2 linked regions of the Lonchura striata genome follow. The protein of the gene in region 1 binds, or shares a complex with, the protein of each later gene. Links are inferred from orthologs where the notes say so. Each region holds a gene or a part of one and is shown in the gene's direction. Other genes may lie near its edges.

Evidence for each region. The genes of interacting proteins can lie anywhere in the genome.
Region 2: CDHR2 (region 1) and MYO7B share a complex: the UniProt entries of both Homo sapiens proteins name them as parts of the IMAC/intermicrovillar adhesion complex. The link is inferred for Lonchura striata from reciprocal best matches to the Homo sapiens genes CDHR2 and MYO7B.

What each region holds. Positions count from the first base shown.
Region 1 is NC_134617.1:3,431,279-3,438,532, reverse strand, and holds the start of CDHR2 (cadherin-related family member 2), read left to right. Parts: upstream 1-4,189; coding exon 4,190-4,281; intron 4,282-4,736; coding exon 4,737-4,795; intron 4,796-5,157; coding exon 5,158-5,223; intron 5,224-5,313; coding exon 5,314-5,453; intron 5,454-5,637; coding exon 5,638-5,691; intron 5,692-5,891; coding exon 5,892-5,981; intron 5,982-6,562; coding exon 6,563-6,652; intron 6,653-6,945; coding exon 6,946-7,068; intron 7,069-7,136; coding exon 7,137-7,254. UniProt on the Homo sapiens protein: Intermicrovillar adhesion molecule that forms, via its extracellular domain, calcium-dependent heterophilic complexes with CDHR5 on adjacent microvilli. Thereby, controls the packing of microvilli at the apical membrane of epithelial cells.
Region 2 is NC_134612.1:7,446,477-7,453,687, forward strand, and holds the start of MYO7B (unconventional myosin-VIIb), read left to right. Parts: upstream 1-4,154; 5' UTR 4,155-4,220; intron 4,221-5,539; 5' UTR 5,540-5,564; coding exon 5,565-5,582; intron 5,583-6,870; coding exon 6,871-6,984; intron 6,985-7,211. UniProt on the Homo sapiens protein: Myosins are actin-based motor molecules with ATPase activity. Their highly divergent tails are presumed to bind to membranous compartments, which would be moved relative to actin filaments.

The sequences.
Region 1 (7,254 bases):
CCACACAGCCCAGCAGGTAGGGACAGTGTGTTTCACTGCTCAGGGGAACATCACTGCTATGTGTACCTTCAGAGGTCAGAGTGAGCACCTGGCAAGAACAGAGGCAGCAGCGACACTCCCTCTCCAGTGAAGGGCCCCGAGAACACAGCAATGACCCTGAAGGCGAAGCAGCCCAGCAAGCCAGCAGGGTGACATCTCCCTGTTTGCTCCACAGTGAAGAGGGCCAAGGCTCAGCTCCCACAGCTGACAGCTGGAGTCAGAGCCCACCACAAGCACCAGCTGAAACCAAGAGCAGCTGCCACCTCTCTGACCTCCCTGCACACAAAGCGGAAGAGACTCGTCACTGAGACCCAGGCTCATAGGCTCAGTGTTTCCTGCCCTTCCCAGCCCTCTGCTGCTGCCCTGCCACACAACACCTTCCCCCTGCCAGCCTGCCAGCCAGATGGCTCTCGCCACCCCTGCAAGCCTCTTCCTCCACAGCAGCAGGAGCTTCCAGTGCCTGGCAGCAGACAGAGGGACCACGGGAGCAGCCAGAGCTGCACCGAGAGCATCTGGGCAGAACCCACGGAGTGGACATCAGAGTGCTGGCCAGCCCTTGGCCAGCACCCAGCTGCCCCTCAGCACCTATCACATCATTTCTCTCTGTTCCAGGGGCATATCCCTTCTCCCTCCCACCTTTGCACAGCCAGAGCACAGCAAGTTGCCACAGTCTGAGTCCCATCAGGACCAGGACACACCATGGTGGCAGCCACAGCTCCAGTGAGCTCTGCCCTGGCCACACAATGCCAGCAATGGACAGACCAGATCATCAGGGCCCAAATCCTGATCTCTACTTGAACGAGCTGGAACTTGCCAGGGGATATCAGGACAGATTTTTGTCCACCACTTGGAGAGCGCCTAGCTCCAAGCAAGGCTAGGGGAACAAAGCCTTGCCATCCCACTGAGACCCCTTGCATGGCTGCGTGCAGGGAGGTGGCACTGAAGCCTCCAAAACACACACAGGTACCTCCTGCCTCACCTCCCATGTCAACACCTGCCCTGTCTCCACTGGCACCGTGTCCCAGTGCGGGGGGGGAATGGAGGGGCCACATTTCACCTGCTAAACGTAACCCACTGCTCGAGGGGTGTGACACCACCCGGCCAGCCCCAGAGCAGACACCCAAAGGTGACGAACAAAGGCACCCAGCAGGCACTCCGCATTAGCAGTATTTTTAGACACACTATGGAGCCGGCCTTATTATTTTCATTGCAACGTGCATAATTACCCACCATGCACCGCAGTGACATCAGACGCAGCCGGCTCTCCTCCGACAGCTGCTCCTCCTCCCGGGGCTCCTGCTGGCCCCGGGACCCACCTGCCCCGCCGGGCTCTGCCCTGCGCATCCCCCCGGGGCACAAGACCCACCTCGAGGGCGGCCTCGAGGTCCTGGGGCATCAGAGCCGACATGGGCGCAGGTGATAGAGGGACAGAGCAAGGCAGTGGCACAGGACAGAGAGAAGGCAAGGCAGGGATGATGTCTGGAGCTGCAGGCACACACAGCCGGTTGTGCTGGGCCGGTGCAGAGCTGGTGGACAAGGTACCAGCACAAAACAGAGCCAGGGTCTTGGAAAGAGGGGTTGTCCCCAGACGGAGGAACAGCACCTGCCTAGCCACAGAGCTCAATTCCTGCCCGGGAGAGCAAACCCTGGAGTGCATTCCAGCTGCCCACAACGTGGTCCCACACGTCCTCCGTGGGACAGGGCTGCCACGGGCCCACACACAGCCCACGCTGCCAGCACAGATCCTGCCGGGCCGGCGGCGCGGCTTGTGCCACCGCCACCACCCCCGGTGCCACTACCCCCACGCCGTCACCTCGGGCTCATTTGTTTCCTACCTCCTCTCCAGGGACAACTTTCCGAAGAGTTTCACCACTTCCCCTCCCGTCCCCTCTCCCACACCGGAGCCTGCCCCGAGCTGACACAGTTTACCGGGTCCGGGGGAACGGCGAACGGGACACCGCGAGGTGCCAAGCGGGACGAGGACACAGCCAGTCAGAAGCCCGTAACCGAAGCCAGACAACCAGCCTCAGCAGAAGCCCCCGACTCCCGCCCGGCCGGGATCGCGGGGGACCCCGAGAAGGGGCTCCGGCCGGGCAGGCTCGGACAGCCGCCACGGGCAGCAGCGCTCCGGCTCCGTCCCCGCTGCCCCCGGTCCCCGCGGGGCTCCCCCAGCAGCGGGGGCTCCTCCCACCGCCCTGCGGCTGCACCGGGCCTGGCTGCGCTTTGCGGCCGCTTCCCCGGGCCCCGATGCCCCGGCAGCCGCCACCCCCGGCCGCGCCGGCCATCCGCCCGCTCCGCGCACCGGGCCCGGCCCCGCCGCACCGGGCCGCGCTCGCTCCTCCGCCCGCCGCAGCGGGCCCCGCAGCCCCGCATCCGCCCCATCGCTCCGCGCCCTGCCCGCCGCCCTCCCCGTCCCGCCGCCCCGAGGCTGCCCTCCCCCTTCCCTCCGCCTCCCGCCAGCCCCGGGCCCTGCCCGCCGCCTCCCCCCGGTGCCCCGGCCCTGCCCCGCACGGCCCGGGCCTGCGGCCGCCGCCTCACCCCGTACCTTCGGGAGGCGCGCCCGCGGCGCTCGGTGCCGTGCCCCGGCGCTGCCCGCCCCTCAGCCCGCTCGCATGGCGCGGCGGCCGGGCCCGCCGGGCTCCGTGTCGGTGCCGGTGCCGGTGCCGCTCCCGCTCCGGTCTCAGCCCCGCCTCATGGCGCCCCCGCGCCCGCCGCGCCGATGGAACCGGCCGCGCCGCGCTGCCCCCCTCCCCGCGCGGCACCGCCTCCCCCCCCGCGCCCGCCGATGGGCGCGCCCGCCGCCTCCTGCCGTAATGAGCCCAAGAGCGGCGCCGCTGAAATGCGCGGCGGAGCTCCTCGGCCGTAATGCTCCGAGTGGCAGCGCACAAACGCCGCCGGGACGGGGCTGGGAACGATCACGGGAATTAGGGAATCGCGGAATCAGCTAGGTTGGAAAAGACCTCTGAGGTCATGCAGCCCAAACTATGACCCAACTAGACTAGACACTCAGTGCCATGTCAACTAGACCATGGCACTGAGTGCCACATCCAGTCTTTCCTTAAACATCTCCAGGGATAGTGACTCCACCACATCCCTGGGCAGCCCATTCCAATGCCTGACAAAACTTTCCGTGAAGAAATTCTTCCTGATGTCCAACCTAAACCTTCACCGGTTGCCAGGGGGAAGAGGTCGCCTCCCACCAGGCTACAACCTCCTTTCAGGACGTTGTGGATGTCTCAGGACAGCCCTGGGAGGTGTGGAAGTGCCCCAGGACAGCGAGGAGAAGTTTGCAGAACAGTGTCCAGCACCAGCCCCAGGAGTCTCTGGGGAGGCACCCCAAGATAGCCCTGAGAGACTCTGGGGGTAACCCCAGGCAGCTCACGGGGTGTCTGTGAGGATGTCCTGGGGCAGCCTTTGCAGGAGCTGGGGTGGTCCTGGAACAGCTCAGGAGAGGTTTGCTAAGGGGTGGTCACAGCCTGTGCCCTGTAGCCCCTTCTCTGGGGGTTGTCTGGGTGTAGGGTGAGATGAAAACCTCAGAGCAGGCTGAGTGTCTGGGAAGACTCCAGAGTTTTTCCAGTACCCAGGCCCTGTGTGTTCTCCAGGGAATAAGGCCACGGATGCGGGGGTCCAACAGGCTGGCCGTGCCCCCCCCCCCCACCACCACAACCTCCCAGTCCTTTTCTGCCTGAGCAGAGCTGGACAATCCACCCTTGTCCCTAGTGGGTCTGAAGTAGGTCAGGGAGGCTGGGCCAAGCTCCTGGGGAGGGGAGTGGGTGGCAGGGGGTGCAGAGGGCCCCAGGCACCCACCCCAGTGGCCACACCACAAGGTTGGTGCCCACCCCCCTGTCTTGGTAGGACCCCAGTGTCCCCAGCCCAGGGGATGCAGGGCATTTCCCTAACCCCCCCTTTGGTCTCCTGGGGGGGTTTGGGATCCCTCTGCACCCCTGCAGGCTCCACATCCCTTCTTGGAAGCTGGGATTCCATGGATGCAGGCTGGGGTGGCTGAATCCTGAGGGGCAGCACCCAGTATGGACACCTGGGGACTTGGTTTTGGGGAGTGAGCCTGGAGCTGAGCTGGGTGGGAGCTGTGGGATGAGAAGAGGGAATATGGAAGACGGGAGAGGGATTTCTCACCCCTTAATTGCAGTTAATGATTGATGAACGTGTTTACTGCAGGAGGCAAAGGTCTGGCAGTGTCAAGACGAGAGTGCAGAGGCAGCATCCCCAGGGACACAGGCACAGGTAAGGGATGTCAGCCCCTATCCCAGTCCCACGGGCACTTTGCTGCATGGAGGGGAGGTGGGGGTGTCTGCCAGCCCTGGAGCTGCCCACAGACCCCGGCACAAGGAGGGAGACACTGCAGTCCTACCATGGGCTACTCCAAGCACTGCTTGGAGAGACCCTGTTGGGCACAAGCAGTGGAGCCTCCAGCCATGCCCAGAACAGGCTCTTGGGGTCCCCCAGGCACACCTAAAGTCTCCTCTACCTGGAGGCCAACCCTGTCCTCGCATGCCATGTCCTCAGGGAGCCCACGCCCAGGAGTGCAGTGTGGAGCCTGGTGTTTGCTCACCAGCCCGGCTCAGCAGAGGGGACTGTCCCCACCAGCACCTCTCCTGCCCTACTGGCTGCTCCCCAGGAGGGGTTTGGGGGGCAGGCCTCAGTCTCTCAAGTGCTTGTTCCCTGGTGTGTGCCCACAGGCATCCTGGCAGGATGGCATGGCGCTCTTTGGTGCTGCTCCCCTTCCTCCTGGCAGCAGGTAAGGACTCCTCTTGGTGATCTGGCATGGGTGAGTGGAAGGTGTTGGAGTTGCTTTCAACTCCCAATACTCTTTCTCCATTCCCTGGGGGAAGCTGCAACCCCAAAACAGCTGCCTGCCCCACTGGGGATGCAGGGCAGGGCAGGGCTGGACAGTAGGGAAAGCATGGGGGCTGCAGCTGGAAGAGAAGTATGGTCTGGAGGTGTGGGATGAGCACAGGGGTGAGGCTGGGGGTTCCCCTGCCTGCATAGAGACCCCAGCCACGGCTGGGAGCTGGGACTGGAGCTGAGGAGGTGCTGCCAGACGTGGCTGTGCCAGCAGAGCCCGGCACAGTGATGGTGCTCAGCTCCTCTCCCCTGTAGTTTTAGGAAACACAGTCCCCATCATCAACGTGACCATCTTCCACGTGCCTGAGGACCTGGAGCTGGGTGAGTAGGGCGGTCTCAAGAAGGGCCTGGGGTGTCAGAGGAGTGACTGGGGGGTTTTTGGGCAGGGGCTGACACTGCCTGGGCCCCCAGGCCAGTTTGCTTTCCAGCTGCAGGCTTATGACCTTGACAACGACCCTCTCACCTACCAAATCCAAGGGATAGACGCCTTCTACTTCTCTGTTGAGTTCAAAACAGGCAGAGTGACACTGAGGAGCTCCCTGGACCGTGAGGTGAGGACAGAAGATGGGATCAGATGTCCCTGCCTGAGAGAGAGTCTGGGGGTTTGGGGATGGAAGGCAGAGCCTGTGGGTCACTCCCTGGAGGGGAAATTGTCCTCACAGAGGTTGGGGCTCAGACATCCAAGGATTGAGCTTCACTTTGGCCCTGACCAAGTCCTGCCTTGTGTCCCCTCAGCTCCAGGCCAAGCTCACCATCACTGTCGGAGTGTCAGATGGTGTAAATAACGAGGTGAGTGCTTGGCCAAGGGCTGGGTGGCTGCAGGGGGAAGAGAGCCCCCATGGCCAAGGCTCAGTGGGAAGACAATTGGAAATGGGTGGGTGATGCTGGCTGGCTAGCCAGGGTGGGCATGGGATGCCAGAAATGCATCCAGCTCTGCTGGCCACCATCTCTCACACACCCATCCTTGTGCCCTCTCTGACACCTGGTAGGTCTCCAAAAAAATCACCATCATCGTGGATGACCGCAATGACAACGCCCCGGTCTTCCAATACCTGCCATATAATGCCATCATCGCTGAGGTACCTTTCTGGGACCTCCCAGTCCCCACGGGCAGCAGGGCAGGGGTGCTGGGTGGCTCCTGTGGCATGGGTGTGCCAGCAGGGGGACAACAACAGGCTGGGAACAGTGTGGCCCCACAGCTGGGTGTGTGGTGACAGCGTGCCTGGGCGTGGGGTGCAGCCAGCACCTGGGAGCACTCTATCACCAGGGCAATTCCCGATGGGAGCCTCTGTGTCACCCTGAGACGCTGGAATGTGACTGGGACTCTGCCCTTGCAATGAGTTCAGGGTGTGCCCGAGCTACCTGTCAGCCCAGGACAGTGTGACACTGAATCAAGGTGTAGATGGGGCGTGGGGCTCAGTCCGACCCCCATCCAGCAACCCCAGGGCTGAGGTGCAGCCTCTGCTCCCAAGGGACCCCAGGGAGGGTAGCGAGGGGGTCCAGCCTCTGCCCAGCCTGAGCAAGGGCAGCAGCTCATCCCTGTGTGTGCCCCACGACACTGGGCAGTGCTGCAGGGCCAGAACCTGCCAGGGCAGGGCTGGCAGGGTCCAGGCCCAGCATCACCCCCCTGCTCTTCCACCACCACCCCCTGTGTGGCCAGAACACGAGCGTGCACAGCATCATCTACACCGTGTTTGCCAACGACAGCGACACCGGGAACGCCTCCAAAGTCAGCTACCGCATCGAGGAGGTGAGCTCAGAGCACTGTGGAGTGGGTCACCACACCCAAACCCCACCCCTGGGCCACCCCTGTGGTGCTGAGGGGCTGGGGGACATGGCCAGGGCAGACCCATATCTCTGGGGGGGCAGGGAGGTTTTGGGCAATGGGTGCAAGGTGCTGAACAGTTTCAGGCTGGGGATGAACCAGGTGGCTGGGGGTCCCCACGGATCAAGCCTGGCAGAAGGAGGGGGATAGAGCCCCTGTCTCTGCTGGGACAGCTCTGCTCCCTGCCTTGGTGACACAGGCTGATGTCCCCTGCTCAGGTGATCCCAGACAACGTGAACAATCACCAGCTCTTCTACATCCTGACCAATGGCAGTGTGGTGCTCAATGGCTCCCTGGACTATGCCAAGAACACTTTCTACCAGATCAAGATCCTCGCCCAGGTGGGCACCATCCAGGCTGGGGGTGCAGGGAAAGGGGCTGGGTGACTGACAGGTGCTCTGCTCCTCAGGATGGCGGGGGATGGCTGCACAACAATTGGACCATCCAGAAGAGCTTTACTTACCTGTCCCTGACCATTAAGGACGTGCCCAACCTGGACCCACGGTTCCTCAATGAGCCCTACTCAG
Region 2 (7,211 bases), on another chromosome or scaffold:
AGAAGGAGAAATTGGCAGTGGAGTCAGATGTTTCTCAGATACAATCCTAAATTCTTAGAAAAAATGCAGAAAACCTTTTTTTTTGTTTTGTTTTGTTTTGTTTTGTTTTGTTTCCCTGAAACACAGATAATGTGTCTGTTTACAGCTCTACTGCTCTGGTCTTTTCCAGATAGCCACAAAGATCCTTAAGTGAGGCTCAGGACCATGCTGTTAATGGTATCATGCACTTTTTTCTTGTTCTCATGATTTTTACTTCTTTTAGGTCTTTGCACTGTGCAGTTTCACTGCGATCTTTTCTGGAAGGAGCTGGCACATGTGGCAGTATGTGATGGGAAGCTCCTGTCATTGCACTTCTCTGACTTCCATAAAGAAATGGAATGACTTTACACAACTGACTAAATCGAAGGCAGGATCGCAACTTTACAACACAACAGATAAAAAAATAAGGAAATAACTTGGGAGTAGTGTAACAGAAAATAATGGACAAGGGAAAACATAAATAGAAACTAACAAAAAAAAACCAAACCAAAAAATCCCTTGTGAATAATGTTTACCAAGGTACCTGGAAATTCTACCAAAGGGCCTAGAAAACACAGAAATCTATCCTATACTAAAATTTCCAAGAGGATCAGAGTATGATGATAGTCTGCCTTGGAAATTAGTCCTTTATAGGTATGTGTCATGTTCTGCAGTCATGGTGAGCTACTGTCCCAAATTCCAGATTGCACTGAGGCATCACTGATGAAAGAATGGATATTTTATGCATTTACTGAGAGTGGAAGGAATTAGGAATCACTCTTCCTAATTGTTATAAATTCCAGTCTTTCTGAAATGATACCTCCTAACCTACTTGTGACATGCCACATGCATCACACAGGAGAGGGAGCACTGTGTCTGAAACAACCTCACCTCATCAATGCTGAATAACTGGGCATCCATTCCAGCCCTCGTTCTGCAGTAAGTGCGTGCGTACACTAACATGCACATGCCTTTGTTCCTCGTGAGCCACAGCTTGGCAGTATCAGTCTGTAACATACTCTTGTAATACCATCCTGGCTGCTTTCCAAAAGGAAGGATGGAGTGACAGTCAGACCATAATGGGATTGCACAGTGGGGGAGAATGACCTGTCTTCTACCAAGCAGCGTAAGCAGCGCCCACTTGGCAAGTGTGAAGGTGTGTAATGACACAGATCCCAGAGCCCTGCCAGTCTGCCTCACTGTGCAACTCCATGAACAGGCTGGAATGAAATAAGCCTTTCCCTGAGGAACAGAATGCTCAAGAAAACTATGCGATGCACTTGGAAATCCTGTAATGGTATGTACTTCTTATTTAGTTTGTTTCCTGCACTGCCTCTTTCAGAGTTAACGGACATCAGTGACTTAGAGCTACAAATCTGCTTAGAGGAAGGGAAGGAGGTTAGTGTAGGCAAGAGGACTGCTGAATGAACAGTTTAAATTGCAAATTGTTACACCCAATCCACCTCGCTTCAGAAACCTCAGAGAAATAACTAGTTTAACATAAAATGATGTTTGGTATCCAGGACCTGGTGACGCAGAAGTGACGAGGCCACTTTGCTTTAGCTGGAGAGAAAATATGAAAGGTAGTGCCATGAGCAAATTAAACCCTTTGATCCTGACATCAATCTCTTAATTAGGAAGTGTCAGGAAGAGCAGTTTTGTTAACACATGTCTATCTGGACAGACCTATTACTTTGAACAACAGCAGAATTAAATTTACCAGGGTTCCTCAAATTTTATTTTGTTGCTTTTCTCGGTGCAGCATTCATCATAGAATCACAGAATGGTTTGGATTGGAAGGGACTTTAAAGCTCATCCAGTTCCACCATAGCAGGGTGGAACTTCCTTCCACTATCCCAGGTTGCTCCAAGCCCTGTCCAACTTGGCCTTGGACACTTCCAGGGATGGGGCAGCCACAGCTTCTCTGGGCAGCCTGTGCCAGTGTCTTGCTACATAATAATTTTTTGAGCTTTACTACTTAAGATGTAATGTCACTATCTTCACCATCAGCAATTTGCTTAAAGGAAAGCCTACAACAATTAATCAGCATAGACCATGCTACAGATCACCCCTAATTACCACTACAAATGTTCCTGTGCCCTGCAGAGTCCCTCACCAAACTCTGTGTTCAGCAGTACATCGCGTTGCTCATTCCTGGCAAGCTCCTCTCCTGTCTTTTCCCATCTGCACAGCTCAGTGCCTGCCAAGCCTGAGCTGCCCCTGTGTACTCACAGGTCCTTCTCTGGAGGCACCTTTAGCCTGCTCACCCCATTAGCTGCATGTGCTGCACAGAGCATCCTAGCTGCTTCCCCTTGGTATATCAAGTCCCTGCTCCCTCAGCTTTTGCTTTCTACCTCTTGAATATGTCAGCTGTGGAAATCAAAATCTCCCTTCTAGTGCCTATTTCAGCTGTACAATAAGTTGTACTTTTCTTTCAGATGACCTTGATTTCCCTATGATTTCATCTAGTACAGTGTCTATAGGACATAAATCCTGTATTTCTCTCTGAAGTAGCACAGGCACTGTATCTTGGGCACAATTGTTAACAATGTAGTTAATTTTAGAATGAGATTCTCTGCCCTCAAACAGGCTCCATTTGGAATTTCAGCAGGTATGTTTTGTTTGCTGAAGGAATATGCACAGCATTTTTTTTCCAATTATACAAAAAGCTTTGGTTTTAGATATCTGCCTTTGTAGTATAAAAGTATGTACTTGGATTTCTTTGCCACTATTTGACCTTTAACTAATAAAACCAGTACTTGGAATTTTGTTAATCACATACAGCATGTAGACATCTAAATACTGTATCAAAAATAAGTCTGCTAAAGAACTACTTTGAAGCAAAATCTTGCTTGCGCAGTTAGAAACTTGAAGAAAGCTCTCTGTGGCTTTCTGCTTCTCTCCAAAAGTCTCTGAGCCCTGAAGGGCCTACATTTTATTTCTGCTTCTGTATCTGCTGCTGTAAGACTTGAACAAAAACTCAAGTAAGGAGGCTGACATTAAAACACAAATATGTGATGTTGATAAACACATGCTACTCCCAACTATTTATTGTTATGCTTGAATTCTTACCTCTGATTTGGACGTGGAGCTACATCAGGGGCCCCATTATACAGCACAGCCACACTGAACCTCGGAAACAAGAAAATAAGCACATGCTCACAATTATTGCACATTTATATTTGCAAGTTTAATAGTGGGTACACAGACTACTGCACAGTGTTGTGCACAGGGCCCCGGAGGAAGGTGACATGGCTGGATTAAGGTACTTGGAAAAAATCTCATCTTCACTGTTTGGGCTCATCATAAATGCTGGAATGTGCTTGATTCCTGAGTTCTTGCTTTGGCTGCATAAACCCTGTGTCTGCCTCTCTACATATGTACTACACTTCTGTTTCTTTCCCATACTGGAATTTTACCAGTTTTGCAAGAAGGCCACAGAGAGTACATATGGAGTCAATAGACAGAGGAAAATTCTTAGCCATCCTGTCCCATTTTGGGAAGAGAGAAGTGGACAGCTAGGGAGTTAACATGCACCTGGATTCTGAAACACAGGGACAAAATGTTTGTTAAGAGTGTTTGTTGAGAGATAAATTAATGAGAGTGAAACCAGGATGTTTTGTCCAATTATGTGGGTGTGTACTATGAATTTCAGTTAAATGTGATGAGTTAATTTTGGTCTGAACTCTAAGTACTGTGAAACACAGACCAGAGAGAACACAGACTAATGGGCATTTTCTTGCAGAAAAGAGCTATGGAAAACCAAGGGGAGGTTTTGATGAAGAAATGAGGGTCTGATTTTCTTCATACATAACATAATAGGCTGAGAGACAGTCTTAGGGAAGTCAGTCATGCTGGAGCAGGATAAGACCAGATGCTAAAGGTTTTCTTCTGAGAGTTCTTTCCAGAAATCTGAAAGGATACAGGCCTAGTGGAGAGACTTAAGTTTAAGGTTCACTCAGGCAAGAATTAGCCTTTGTGTTCCCTGGAACACCTGACCTGGAAGTGACATATACACTGAACTGGGAGCAAAGTCCTGTAATAAATAACCGTGCTTCAGTCATTTCCTCCTTTGTGCAGTGGAGAACTGTAACTTAATGGCACCAGGGCCACTTTCACCATCCTTTCCCTTCTTACTCCAATGCGTATGAAAAAGAGCGACCTGTTGCAAAAGCCGCAAAGTGAAGATTTCTTCTGGAGAGGTAAATGCCCATCCTGTGGGGTGTGATTTGGTTTATGGTGCAGAATTACTTTGTCAAGAGCAGCAGCAGAGAGAGCCAGGCTTGGCCAGGAAGTGACCATGCAACCAGGTGCAGGGGGTGGCCACTCTGGGAATAAGAATTTTAGGTGTTGGAACTGCATATCCTGGGATTATACGGCATCTCCTCCCTCCACATCTGCTGTTGGCTCCTGTCAGACAGGATCTGGAGACAGCTGTCCCTTTGATGTGACCCTCTATGGCTGTCTCTGTGTTTGCAGCTGCCACTCCCTCCTTGTTCGGGGCCAACTTTTCTACTCTTTTGCCATATTCTGGTTTCTGGTGCAGGTGAAAAAGGGCTTGGCAGTTGTGAATCACTGACTGTGGCCCATCTTTAGCATGTATTTGCCAAGGACTGTGCTTCTGTTCCACCCTGCACCACTCACAGCAACAGGCCATCTCAGTGTTGAAGTTGATACATAGGTCCTGCCTCTGAGTCCTGAATGAGATCATGAGGACTTCACTGTAAGAATAACAGAATATGAAAGACCAGCTGGCAAATCATCCTAGACATGGAATCACTCCCAAAATCCAGCTCTGTGGGACATAAAGTTGCTTTGAAGACTTCAGTTTCTTGATTAGGACAGCCTAAACTGCACCATCCCTTAATTAAAGGAATGCTGTAGATTTCTGGCCACTGAGATTTGGCTGTAATGTTCTTAATAGTATGTTCCTACTTTTATCGTGGTTCCCTCCAGTCCCTTATTTTGCTGTTCATGCCTTTATTGCAATCCCTCCCATTCCAGCCAAGGAAGGTGAATTCTAACCCTCTGTTTCTGTTTAGTGGTGGGTTCAAGCTGGAGGGTATGAGGGAACTCAGCTCAGAAAGTATTAATTAAACCTGTGTCTCTGGGATAGCCACTGAACTGTTGGGTCAATGGACTAGCTAAAGGTAACTCTGCTGTGCATCAAATCACATTGTACTGTGGAGTCTTTTTATTAGTGAGCCAACCTTGAAGTTCAGACAATAATTGTGCCTAGTAGTTGACTGAGAGAATTATTTGGTATGAAAATGTGGACAGTGAAATCTTTAGGGCTGAGAGCATCTCCAGGGTTATATGATAGAACTCAGAGAACTGTAGGGTTCTTTGCTTTGTGTAGATGGTGTCATTGTTTCTACATTGAGTGTATCTTACTATGATCTCTTCTACTTAAAAAAAAAATATTTCAAGACATTTTGATGTTATTTTTTTGCAAGGAAACCCCACTGTCTGTTCTCATCAAAGCCCTTTTCTGACCTAACATTATGTTCTTGGCATGCAGGTTGCATACAGTGATCTGAAACATAATGGTGGTTTTCAGAAAGGTAAGTCCTACTCTTTGCTCTGATTGAGTGATTAGCCTGAGGCCCAAAGAGGAGGAATATTACCTTACCATCATGATTCAATCAAAGGAAAGTTGCAATAACCCAGTATCAACAAGGTATAAAACAATTTTAGCCTAGACTAGGGAAGCAGAGGTGTCTTGCCTTACCAGGCCATCCTCTTGTTGAGCAGGTGACCTCTGTCACAAGGTGTGGCACTGAAACTACACAAGTTACCTTTGGAGTTTTATTCAACACAAATAAGAGCTGCTAGTCTGTAACATTCTTCATAATCTTGTGCAATGTTTATGGATGCTTAACATTGGTTGTTTGGTTTTAAATGTAAGCCACAAAGTATTTTGAGAGGAAAAAGAAATATTTTTTTCAGTAAAAACATTGAAACTATGACAATCAGTGCTGTGGTGTGTAACAAAAGTTGTATATGACAAGACACAGCTAGAAAGTACACTGATCTACAACTCTGATCATTTCTTATTCCATCTTTCTGTTTGAATCTGTATTAGGGACTGGAGCAAGAGAAGGTGCTCCCGAGAGCCTGCAGTAGGGAAGTATAACCAGGACACTGGTACAGAAAACTCCAAGATGTTGCTTATTCCTAGGAAAGGGCAGCTGTGGCTCACCCCTTTCTCCAGGCACAGCAGAGCAGGTTCTTGCTTGCTCTGCAGAGGTGCCAGATGTTGATAAGCCTCCACCTATGTGAAGAGAGGGACTGGGCTGGATAAAGAATGCTAGTGGGTTTTTTCATGAGAGAGATCATGGAGAGATCCCATTTCAGCTATAGCAGGAAAAATATATATCTAAAATTTCTCACAACAGAGGCCTTTACATTTCCAGGCATCCAATATGTACATCTATTTGTTTTTCTCTTTCCTGGCAAAGTCTATGTTCTCAAGAATCTCTTCTGAGAAAATATCATAGCTCATGTGAGGCTGCCAAGCCAGTTGCCCAGCATTCACTGTGCCCCCAGTCAGCCTCTGAGAGGTACTGGAGCTGCATTATTGCTGTTCTTGGAAAAAGTGTTGCCTCATTTCCTCTTGTGAGACAGCTGGGTTTGATGACTTGTCCGAAGTCATGTTCCAGATCAGCTGTGGTGCTCGGAGCAGAATTCAAAGGTCTGTAAATGTGCTGCCTGCAAGCAGTAAGAACTTACTCAACTAAACACTTGTAAAGAAATCAAATAACTAGAAAAGGAAGACCAAGAGGTGTTTGCCTGTGAGCTATGTGGCATCAAGTATGTCACTGTACTCAACAGTAGCTTTTTTCTCCCCAGGGTGATCATGTGTGGCTGGACACTCAACCAAACAGTGAATTTAATGTCCCTATTGGGGCAGTTGTGAAGGAATCTGACTCAGGACGGATGTTGCTGCAGGATGATGAAGGCAAGGTGGGGTATGCTATAAACTTCTATAAAAGATTAACATAAAATGTAAAAGTACAAAGTACAAAAGAAGGCCCTATTAGGTCAGACCAAAGCTCCATCTGTTCAGGTGGTCTGACTTTGATATAGGTAGGATATACTGGAAGAAAGGCTATAGAAATAAGGCAAGTATAGGATGGTCACCTGGATTCTCCAGGACTGAGCACTAGGAAGATTCAGAGCTTCATAAAAAC